Linked DNA regions of Macaca fascicularis. The protein of the gene in region 3 interacts with the protein of the main gene of each other region in a pairwise test. Links are inferred from orthologs where the notes say so. Each region holds a gene or a part of one and is shown on either strand. Other genes may lie near its edges. The genes, in order: MAD2L1BP, SNRPB2 and HOMEZ.

What was found.
Region 1: the proteins of HOMEZ (region 3) and MAD2L1BP interact in binary tests that used the Homo sapiens proteins (3 or more experiments, as listed by UniProt). The two-hybrid records come from large-scale screens. The link is inferred for Macaca fascicularis from reciprocal best matches to the Homo sapiens genes HOMEZ and MAD2L1BP.
Region 2: the proteins of HOMEZ (region 3) and SNRPB2 interact in binary tests that used the Homo sapiens proteins (3 or more experiments, as listed by UniProt). The two-hybrid records come from large-scale screens. The link is inferred for Macaca fascicularis from reciprocal best matches to the Homo sapiens genes HOMEZ and SNRPB2.

Annotation. Positions count from the first base shown.
Region 1 is NC_088378.1:127,883,456-127,886,211, reverse strand, and holds the end of MAD2L1BP (MAD2L1-binding protein), read left to right. Parts: intron 1-1,112; exon of another isoform or gene 1,113-1,187; coding exon of another isoform or gene 1,188-1,274; coding exon 1,275-1,787; 3' UTR 1,788-2,196; downstream 2,197-2,756. UniProt on the Homo sapiens protein: May function to silence the spindle checkpoint and allow mitosis to proceed through anaphase by binding MAD2L1 after it has become dissociated from the MAD2L1-CDC20 complex.
Region 2 is NC_088384.1:70,554,802-70,558,555, forward strand, and holds the start of SNRPB2 (U2 small nuclear ribonucleoprotein B''), read right to left. Parts: upstream 2,295-3,754; 5' UTR 2,116-2,294; exon of another isoform or gene 1,924-2,115; intron 647-1,923; 5' UTR 609-646; coding exon 545-608; intron 150-544; coding exon 1-149. UniProt on the Homo sapiens protein: Involved in pre-mRNA splicing as component of the spliceosome. Associated with sn-RNP U2, where it contributes to the binding of stem loop IV of U2 snRNA.
Region 3 is NC_088381.1:91,047,387-91,051,040, forward strand, and holds part of HOMEZ (homeobox and leucine zipper protein Homez), read right to left. Parts: intron 389-3,654; coding exon 1-388. UniProt on the Homo sapiens protein: May function as a transcriptional regulator.

The DNA.
Region 1 (2,756 bases), on a different chromosome or scaffold from region 3:
GTATCAGTTTGCATCCCTTGGGAGTCCCTTCTGTCAGCACTTGGTATTCAGCTCTCTTGAACTCTTAATTCTTCACCTTCTTTCTTTTCTTTTTTTTCTTTTTTTTTGAGACAGAGTCTTGCTCTGTCGCCCAGGCTGGAGTACAGTGGCGTAATCTCGGCTTACTGCAAGCTCCGACTCCCGGGTTCATGCTATTCTCCTGCCTCAGCCTCCCAAGTAGGTGGGACTACAGGCACCCGCCACCACGCTCAGCTAATTTTTTTTTTTTTTTTGAGACGGAGTCTCGCACTGTCGCCCAGGCTGGAGTGCAGTGGCGCCATCTCGGCTCACTGTAAGCTCCACCTCCTGGGTTCACGCCATTCTCCTGCCTCAGCCTCCCGAGTAGCTGGGACTAGAGGCGCCCGCCACCACGCCCGGCTAATTTTTTGTATTTTCAGTAGAGACGGGGTTTCACCGTGTTAGCCAGGATGGTCTCGATCTCCTGACTTTGTGATCTGCCTGTCTCGGCCTCCCAAAGTGCTGGGATTACAGGCATGAGCCACCGTGCCCGGCAAGGCTAATTTTGTGTGTTTTTAGTAGAGACAGGGTTTCACTGTGTTAGCCAGGATGGTCTTGATCTCCTGACCTCATGATCCACCTGCCTCGGCCTCTCAGTGCTGGGATTGTAGGCATGAGCCACTGCGCTCGGCCAACTCTTCATCCTCTTTCTGTCTTCCAAAACTTTGTGTTTGCATTTGACTAGTGTTGTGTAGTCTCCAGTTCTTTGCCCTTGGGAGTTTTCTTTCTCGGTCTTTCCTCTTCTTTCGTTCATTTGTTTCTTAATTTCTTTTCTCTCATTTTGTAGTATTTCAGGTGGAAGCGCAAATAAGCATTGTTCAGTTTACTATGTTTAAGTGGAAGAACAAGTTCAGAGTCATGTTTATTAGACCAAATAATCCTTATTCCTGTTATCACTCCCTGTATAGCAAAAATTTGTTGTCACTTTGTCATACTACCAAATCTCTATTTTAGTTGTTTATATCTGGATATTCTCCACCTTCAGAACACTGTGTTTGCTGTTCTATATGTGGGAGAATTATGGTTTTGTACAAATAATATATTTTCCTTTTCAGTATAATGCCCTCTGATAAAACACAGTGTTGTGGCTGTGGCGGTTCATTGAGCTAGAAATTCAGTCCTGTAAGTCTATGTACACATCCCAGCAGGGTTCTTTTCAAAGGGCATTAGCTTCCCCCTGCCTTGTTCTTCTCTCCCGCCATTCTTTGTCCTCACAGGCAGAGGAGATGCTGAAGAAGAAACCTCGGGCCACCACTGAGGTGAGCAGCAGGAAATGCCAACAAGCTGTGGCAGAACTGGAGAGTGTCCTCAGCCACCTGGAGGACTTCTTTGCACGGACACTAGTACCACGAGTGCTGATTCTCCTTGGGGGCAATTCCCTAAGCCCCAAGGAGTTCTATGAACTCGATTTGTCTCTGCTGGCCCCCTACAGCGTGGACCAGAGCCTGAGCACAGCAGCTTGTTTGCGCCGTCTCTTCCGAGCCATATTCATGGCTGATGCCTTTAGTGAGCTTCAGGCTCCTCCTCTCATGGGCACCATCATCATGGCACAGGGACACCGCGACTGTGGAGAAGATTGGTTTCAACCCAAGCTCAACTATCGAGTGCCCAGCCGGGGCCATAAACTGACTGTGACCCTGTCATGTGGCAGACCTTCCATCCGAACCACGGCTTGGGAAGACTACATTTGGTTCCAGGCACCAGTGACACTTAAAGGCTTCCGCGAGTGAATGAGTGCTTCTTAATTATAAAAACACAATGGCTGAATTATCTTTCTTCATGTGGCACTGAATTACCCATCTAGTTTGGAGCTAGAGTTTCTTCCTGGTGAGAGACGAAGCAACTCTCCTTCTGGTTGTCTGCCTCCCCTCCTCAGGTTTCCTGATGGGCTGATGGCATGTGGCGGTGACTGTAATCATTGCTGAACAACATCTCTTTGAATCAAAGGTTGATTTTCCCAGAGGGTGCTGGGTCAGGTATTTCTGTTAGGGGTTGTAAAGCAAAGATGGGTCCATAGACAGAAACTCCATGAAGGTGGCCCTTTCTGCTCCTTGCTGTGTCCTTTCAGAATTTTTCCCAGGAACATAATGTGGATGTGACTTATGAATTTAAATATAAAATAAATAGATTCTTATTATATTTTCCTGAAATTCTTTTGACTTAAAATAACTTGTCAGGTTTTAGGCTATTTTGTCTTTCTCCTTGGCCTCTTCTGCTTCAGGGCGTCTCAAAAATTTATTATATTTTTCTTTTTTGAGATGGAGTCTTGCTCTATCGCCCAGGCTGGAGTGCAGTGGCATAATCTTGGCTCACTGCAACTTCCGCCTCCCAGGTTCAAGGAATTCTCCTGCCTTAGCCTTCGAGTAGCTGAGATTGCAGGTGCCCACCACCACACCCAGATAATTTTTGTATTTTTAGCAGAGATGGGGTTTCACCATATTGGCCAGGCTGGTCTCAAACTCCTGACCTCAAGTGATCCACCTGCCTTGGCCTCCCAAAGTGCTGGGATTACAGGTGTGGGCCACTGTGCCCAGCCTTAGGATTTTTTAATAATGATTTTTTCTCTTCTTCAGCCCCAGGCTAATCTAGGAAGTTAAGTGACTTGGCCAAGTGCATATGTACTTTGATAACACAGTTAGGACTAGAGTCCTCATTAGCTATCTTTTAGCCAATGTGCTTTTCTTATCACATACAGATTT
Region 2 (3,754 bases), on a different chromosome or scaffold from region 3:
TCCTTGTAACTGTCTCAAAGCATTGGTGGATGAGCCCAGTTCCTTAAATATGACAAAGGCCTGCCCCCTCATCTTCATGGTCTTTAAAGCCACAATGTCCACCACATGACCGAATTGAGAAAACAGGGCATACAGGGATCTCTTCAATTCTGTCCAAATTAGAAAAGAAACAAGTCATTGGTAATAAGATAATGACAAAAGTCTTCATAAAATGATACTGCATTGAGTTGCCTCCCCACCATTCACTTATTTATAGTTATATATATTTAATGTTTATAAAAACATATACTATTCCCATTGGCTATATGTAATTTTATAAGTCAGATGAAACCATTATATCTATGAGTAGAAACAGACTGTACACACTGTCAATTCCTACCTATTTTTGTTTTTTAAAAGTCTTCAAATCCCTATAGGTAATGGGATAAACCATTATTTCAGGCACTAAGACGACGAGGTAAGAGGTTTTGAGGCAATACAATTTTTAAGACAGTAGTAAATAAACACATTTTAGTAGTGAACAAGTATTTTTAAAAGCACTTACCTTCCTTTTTAATTTTGTCATTCATATTGTTGATATAAATTGTATGATTTGGTCTGATATCCATGTTTGTGTTAAATTCTTCAGAAGGAGACAGTAAAAAATCTGTTATAAAAAGGAAGGAGTAAATTATACTGGACTGTGGCATAAGGACACAACACACGAATTATTAACCTTTCACTTCTCTTTCAATCCCAATTGTTAGATGATGTGAGTTTGGCTGAAGCCTTTAGTGTACCTCCAGCACCTACTAGCCCTCCTTTTCATACAAAAGGAGAAGAGTTTCTCATGCTCAAAACTTGGAGCACCAATACCTAGCCAGATTTTAGTAACATCATTTAATTCAACACATTTATTTTCACACTTACTTTTCACTTATGACAAGTGATATTTTCTTTCCACCTCCTCAATAATTTAAAATGTAGATTTGAAGAAAAATGACCAAGTAGCAAATGTACATCCAGTGAAAATCATAAGGTTAGACATTAATGGAGTTTGCCAACTACTTCTTGGGTGCACTTACAAAGTCCTTCCATACCTATTACTTAATTTGTATACAGTATCACCAAGCTGTCTGGACTCCAAGGTTACCTCTAACCGACTTGAAAGAAGGGAGCTCAATGACAGCAGTGTGGCATGACCGTTAAACTCAGATTCTAGTACCAACCATATGTGAATTCAAATCCTATTTATGCTTCTTATTAGCTGTTTGCCTGAGGGAAGTTCCTTAATCTGTCAGGTCCTCATCAGTAAAATGAGAATGGTAACAGAACCTACCCAACCGAGCTCAGAAGACTAAATGAGTTCTAGCACAGTTTTGCATCAACGGTAAGCACTTAAAGTAGCTATTATTAACAGCTATTACCAGTTAAGGAACGTGCCTAAGGTCACACAGCTAATAAGCATCAAGCCTGGAAATTCAGCCCTTGCTTTCTCCTCTACACTTCTCTTCCTCGTCCACCACACTATTGCATTTTTTTAACGTGGTTTTTACTTGCAAACTGTGAAGCTGCTTGATTTCCTTGTGTGCCCCACATATTCCTTTATCTCACAAATATTTACGGAGCATCCACTGTACGTGAATAGCATTGGATGATTGACAAGGGAAGAGCCTACAAGCAGGGGCTGCACTTGTGCAGGTAACAGGTAAAACATAACGCTTCTCCAAGCCTTGGGACCCCCTAAATCGAAATCTGGAGAAGCGGCAAGGGTCACAAAGGAGACGACGAAAGGGAAGTGACTGAGGCAGAGGTCAAACTGAAGGTAGGGGGACAAAGGGGAGGCTCTTGCGGGGTTTCATGCGAGGTTTGATCGTGGGCTGGACTGTTACAGGGGCACCCTGAATTACCCGCCACTACCAAAAGGAAACCGCTGGAAGACACCTGAAAGCGCAGTGAACTGTCAGCGCCTCGCACAAGCAGAAGGACATTATCCTTTACTTCGTAAGCGCAAGCCTCCCGCCTCTCCAGACACAAGCACCTTCGCCCGAGGCCCCCTAACGAAGTCCGAGGGAGCTGCCACGCGATGCCCGGCCCCTGAGTCAGTCTCCCATCTCTTCCTCGCCCCCAGCCTACTCGGGTACTCCGAGATCCAAATCCGGGCCAAACGCGTCCCCACCCCAGCTTCGCGCTTCGTCCGCTCCCAGCTGCAACAGGGGAGAGAAGGGCCGAGGAGCCAGGAAAACCGAAACAGCGAGGTAAAAGGTGCACGAACCCACCTAAGGCCTACGCAGTCTCCCGTAAGAACCAAAAGCAGGAAACGGAGCCAGGCACCGGAAGTAACGTTGCCACGCTCCTCAATCGAGCGCCCACAAGTCTACAAGCCGAGCGCAGAGCAGATCGATGCTTCCTGGTCTCTGGCGGCCCGTAGGTAATCTCTTTGCGCGTGCGTATGCCCTGCGGGCAGGAGAAGAGTCCGGAAATGGAAATGGGGAAAGGGACGGGGTTTGTGGGGACAATGCTGCGAGGGAATAGGGAAGAAGAGTGAATCATTTCCCTTACCACGACCTTGCGAAGCTTTGCCCCGCGCAAGAGTGCCTTCCACCTTTACAAATCCTATGTAATTTTACAGGCTCTGCCTCTCATGCTACGGGGCAGTTAGTCCTGGTTTCGCCCTTCTTTGGGCTCTGGCTGCCCCGGTTTAAAATCACCTTTAGGATAGCCGGTTCCTCCGGCCTCCAAGTCTCCTCTGATTCCTGGGGCTCTGCAGTAACTGTTCTCCAACACTCTGCTGATGAACTTCAATCTCAGAGGCTACCCAGTTTGAGGGCCCAGGGCAAACAGAACTGGTGTCTGCCCAATTCTCATCTCTCACCAGATAAGGCAACCATGCTGAGTAGAACCCAATCATCTGTAAGATCATCTGCCTCAACTCACTCGAAAAAATAATTCCCTACCACCCTTCCCACTCTTTTCTTCCCACAAAAAGTCTAGATTTTTCTAGGGTAGTCTAACGAGTTAGTATTTGTGCCAAGCTGAATGGGAATTCCCAAAAAAATTCCCATGCTTTCATTCATTCATCCATTCATCAGATGTCTGTAAAGCATCACCTGGAATATGAAATGGTTGTTAAGAGTCAAGTGGAACCTAATCTTGTACCCTCTGCTTAACTAATCTCTCTGATCTTCACTCTTTTCGTCTGTAAAATAGGGATCCTAATAGTATCTCCTTCTAGTTGTTGTAGGCATTAAATGAGCTAAAATAAATGTAAAGTGGTTGGCACATTACCAGACACAAAATAAATGCTCAAAAATGTTATTTCTGAATTCTGGCTATAACTTGGTTATATTGGTGAGGCTCAAAAATGTTATTTCTGAGTTCTGGCTATAACTTGGTTATATTGGTGAGGCAGGTAGCTTGTCAAATAAGTTAGTTTTATCAGCTGGGAATTTTTATTTTTTAAAAAACACCTAAAGTTGCAACAACTTGAAAATAATATAAGCTTCTTAAGGGTGGGGATTTTGTCTGCTCTGTTCACTCAAGTACCCTTAGTAATGAGAATAGTGACTGATAATTAATATGTATTGGATAAATGAATGAATGACATGGAAAACTAGGCAACAGTAAACAAATATGCTTTGAACATGCAGATGAGTGTAGAAAATGTTAAGGGATCACAGAAAAACATCCTTTTATTATATAGATCTAATACTACAAGAAATGGCTGAGTGTAGTAGCTCACACCTGTAATCCCAGCATTTGCGGAGGCTGAGAT
Region 3 (3,654 bases):
TGAGTAAAAGAGAGAAGGGATTTGAAATGGAGTTGGTCCCGACGGTAGACTACTCGGGCTCGAGTTTCTTCTATTTCTTCAGATGACCAGCTAATACCACAGCGGAGGCGCTGGGCCATAAACCAAGTCTTGACTTTCTCCATCTGCAACCCATAACGTAGGCAGAGAAGGGCAATGTCTGCTAGGCTGGGATAGGGAAAGTAGCTGAAGGTTTTTAGCAGGTGTTCATTGCTGTCTAGCTCACTGGTCTGGGCTGCTTGGGTCCACACAAGCTGTAGCTCCTCAGAGATTGGAGGGAGGCAGATGAGCCCCGCTGGTGAACTACTGAGACCGCTGGCCTCTTTATTAGGAGGCATGGTGCTTTCTGATTTGTGCCCTTCAGAGATAGCTGTAATAAGAAAAGAAACAGCTCAATCACTGGGTCTCCTCTTCTGACACATTGCTCAATTTCTACCAAACTAACTGCTGGACACCAAAACAATTAAGTTTCTATTTGCATCATGTTGTATTGCTTTTTAAGTGCTTCAACAGTTTCTTATTTAATTTTCATAAACAAGTCATCAGACCCTGCTTTAATTCTGATTTTCTGTGGACTAAAGTCCATAGATGTTAAATTACCCCAAGTCACATGACTGGTGAGTGTTGTTCCAAGAAAAAAATCTGTCTTTAAAGCCAGTCATGGTGGCTCATACCTGTAATCCCAGCACTTCAGGAGGCCTAGGTGAGAGGGATTGCTTGAGCCCAGGGGTTTGATACCAGCTTGGGCAACATGGTGAGACTACAAAAAATTTAAAAATCAGCTGGGCATGGTGGTTCGTGCCTGTAGTCCCAACAACTTGGGAGGCTGAGGCAGGAGGACTGCTTGAGCCTGGGAGGTCGAGGCTGCAGTGAGCTATGCTTGCACCACTGCACTCCAGCCTGGGTGATAGAGTGAGACCCTATCTAAAACAAACAAAAAAAGGCCGGGTACGGTGGCTTATGCCTGTAATCCCAGCACTTTGGGAGGCCAAGGCGGGAGGATCACAAGGTCAGGAGATCGAGACCATCCTGCCCAACATGGTGAAACCCCGTCTCTACTAAAAATACAAAAATTAGCTGGGCATGGCGGTGAGTGCCTGTAATCCCAGCTACTCAGGAGGCTGAGGCAGGAGAATCATCTGAATCCAGGAGGCGGAGGTTGCAGTAAGCCGAGATCAGTGCCATTGCACTCCAGCCTGGGTCACAGGGTAAGACTCCGTCTCAAAAAAAAAAAAAAAAAAAAAAAAAAAAATCTGTCTTTAGAGGTTAAGAAGGAAAACTGATCCTGATACAGTTTTTTTTTAGTGTGTTTGTGTGTGTGTGTGTGTGTGTGTGTGTTTGAGACTGAGTCTCGCTCTGTTGCCAGGCTGGAGTGCAGTGGCACGATCTTGGCTCACTGCAACCTCCACTCCCGGGTTCAAGCAATTCTCTGCCTCAGCCTTCCGAGTAGCTGGGATTACAGGTGCCCACCACCACGCCTGGCTACTTTTTGTATTTTTAGTAGAGATGGGGTTTCACCATCTTGGCCAGGCTGGTCTTGAACTCCTGACCTCGTGATCCACCTGCCTCTGGCCTCCCAAAGTGCTAGGATTACAGGTATGAGTCACCACAGCCAGCTGGTGGGGTTTTGTTTTTTTTTTAAGAGATAATATTGCTCTGTCACCCAGGCCACCCAGGCTGGAGTGCAGTGGCACCATCATAGCTCTGATACAGCCTTCATCTTTCCTATTCAAACCCACTTCTAGAAGCTATCCACCAACTCTCACCTTCTAAATTCATGGAACAAGAATCACACAGTGAAGACTCAACCACAAAAACAAGAGGAGCAATAATTTCAACTTGTTTGTGTGTGTGTGTACATTTTTGTTTTTGTTTTTTCAAGAGACAGGGTCTCACTCTGTTGCATAGGCTGGAGTGTGGTGGCGTGATCATGGCTCATTGCAGCTTTGAACTCTTAGGCTCAAGCAATCCTCCCACCTCAGCCTCCCAAGTAGCTAGGACTACAGGTATATGCAGCCATATCTGGCTAATCTTAAAATTTTTTGTAGACAGGGTCTCACTATGTTGCCTAGGCTGGTCTCAAACTCCTAGCCTCAAGTGATCCTCCCACCTCAGCCTCCCAAAGTGCTGAGATTACTGGAGTGAGCCACTGCACCTGGCCCTGAGAACTGTTTTTTTTTTGTTTTATTTTGTTTTGTTTTTTTGAGCAGGGAGGGTCTCGCTCTGTTGCCTAGACTGGAGTGCAGTGACATGATCTCAGCTCACTGCAGCCTCTGCCTCCTGGGTTCAAGTGATTCTTGTGCCTCAACTTCCCGAGTAGCTGGGACTACAGGTGTGCGCCACCATGCCCTATTACATTTTGTATTTTTAGTAGAGATGAGGTTTCACCATGTTAACCAGGATGGTCTCGAACTCCTGACCTCAAGTGATCCACTGGCCTCAGCCTCCCAAAGTGCTGGGATTACAGGCCTGAGCCACGGCCCCTGGCCAGAACTGTTAATAACTTTTTTTTTTTTTTTTTTTTTTTTGAGACAGAGTCTTTTGTCACCCAGGCTGGTGTGCAGTGGCGCGATCTTGGCTCATTGCAACCTCCACCTCCTGAGTTCAAGCAATTCTCCTGCCTCAGCCTCCCGAGTAGCTGGAATTACAAGCGTGCACCATGATGCCCAGCTAATTTTTGTATTTTTAGTAGAGACGAGGTTTCACTATTGTTATAAATAAGGTTTCGGTGCCACAAAAGAAATAGCAATCGAATATAAAATTTTCTTTTTTTTTTTCTTCTCAGCAGGGCAATTTACTTCTATAGAAGGGTGCGCCCTCACAGATGGAGTAATGGTGAGCACACACCTGGACAAGGGAGGAGAAGGGGTTCTTACCCCTGACACATGTGGCCCCTGCTGCTGTCATTCCCCTATTGGCTAGGGTTAGACCGCACAGACTAAACTAATTCCGATTGGCTAATTTAAAGAGAGTGACTGGGTGAGTGGTTTGGTTATGGCAGAGCAGGAAATCGGAATGAGTCAGGGTGGAGAATGAGTCAGGGTGGAGAATGAGTCAGGGTGGAGCAGGTAATCGGAATGAGGCAGGGTGGAGCAGGTAATCAGAATGAGTCAGGATGGGGCAGGTAATCGGAATGAGTCAGGGTGGAGCAGGTAATCGAAATGAGTTAGGGTGGAGCAGGTAATCGAAATGAGTTAGGGTGCAGCAGGCAATCAGAATGGGTCAGGGTGGAACAGGTGATCGAAAAAGGTTGCTTTACAAGGAAGTTAAGTTTAAAAGTAGAAGGCAGAGAATTGAACATACTGATATATTGATTCTTTGAAGAGAAATTTAGAACTCCTATCTAATGCTCTGTTGGCCAGGCTGGTCTCGAACTCCTGACCTCAGGTGATTCACCTGCCTTGGCCTCCTAAAGTGCTGGGATTACAGGCATGAGCCACCGCGCCCAGCCACTATTTTTTTTTTAGAGACAAGGTCTCGTTATGTTGCCCAGGCTGGTGTGCTATGCATAGGTGCAATGATAATGCACTATAGCCTCGAATTCCTGGGATCAAGTGACCCTCCTGCCTCAGCCTCCTGAGTAGTTGGAACTACAGGTGCACACCATTGTCCCTGGCTTGTTACTAACTCTTTGGC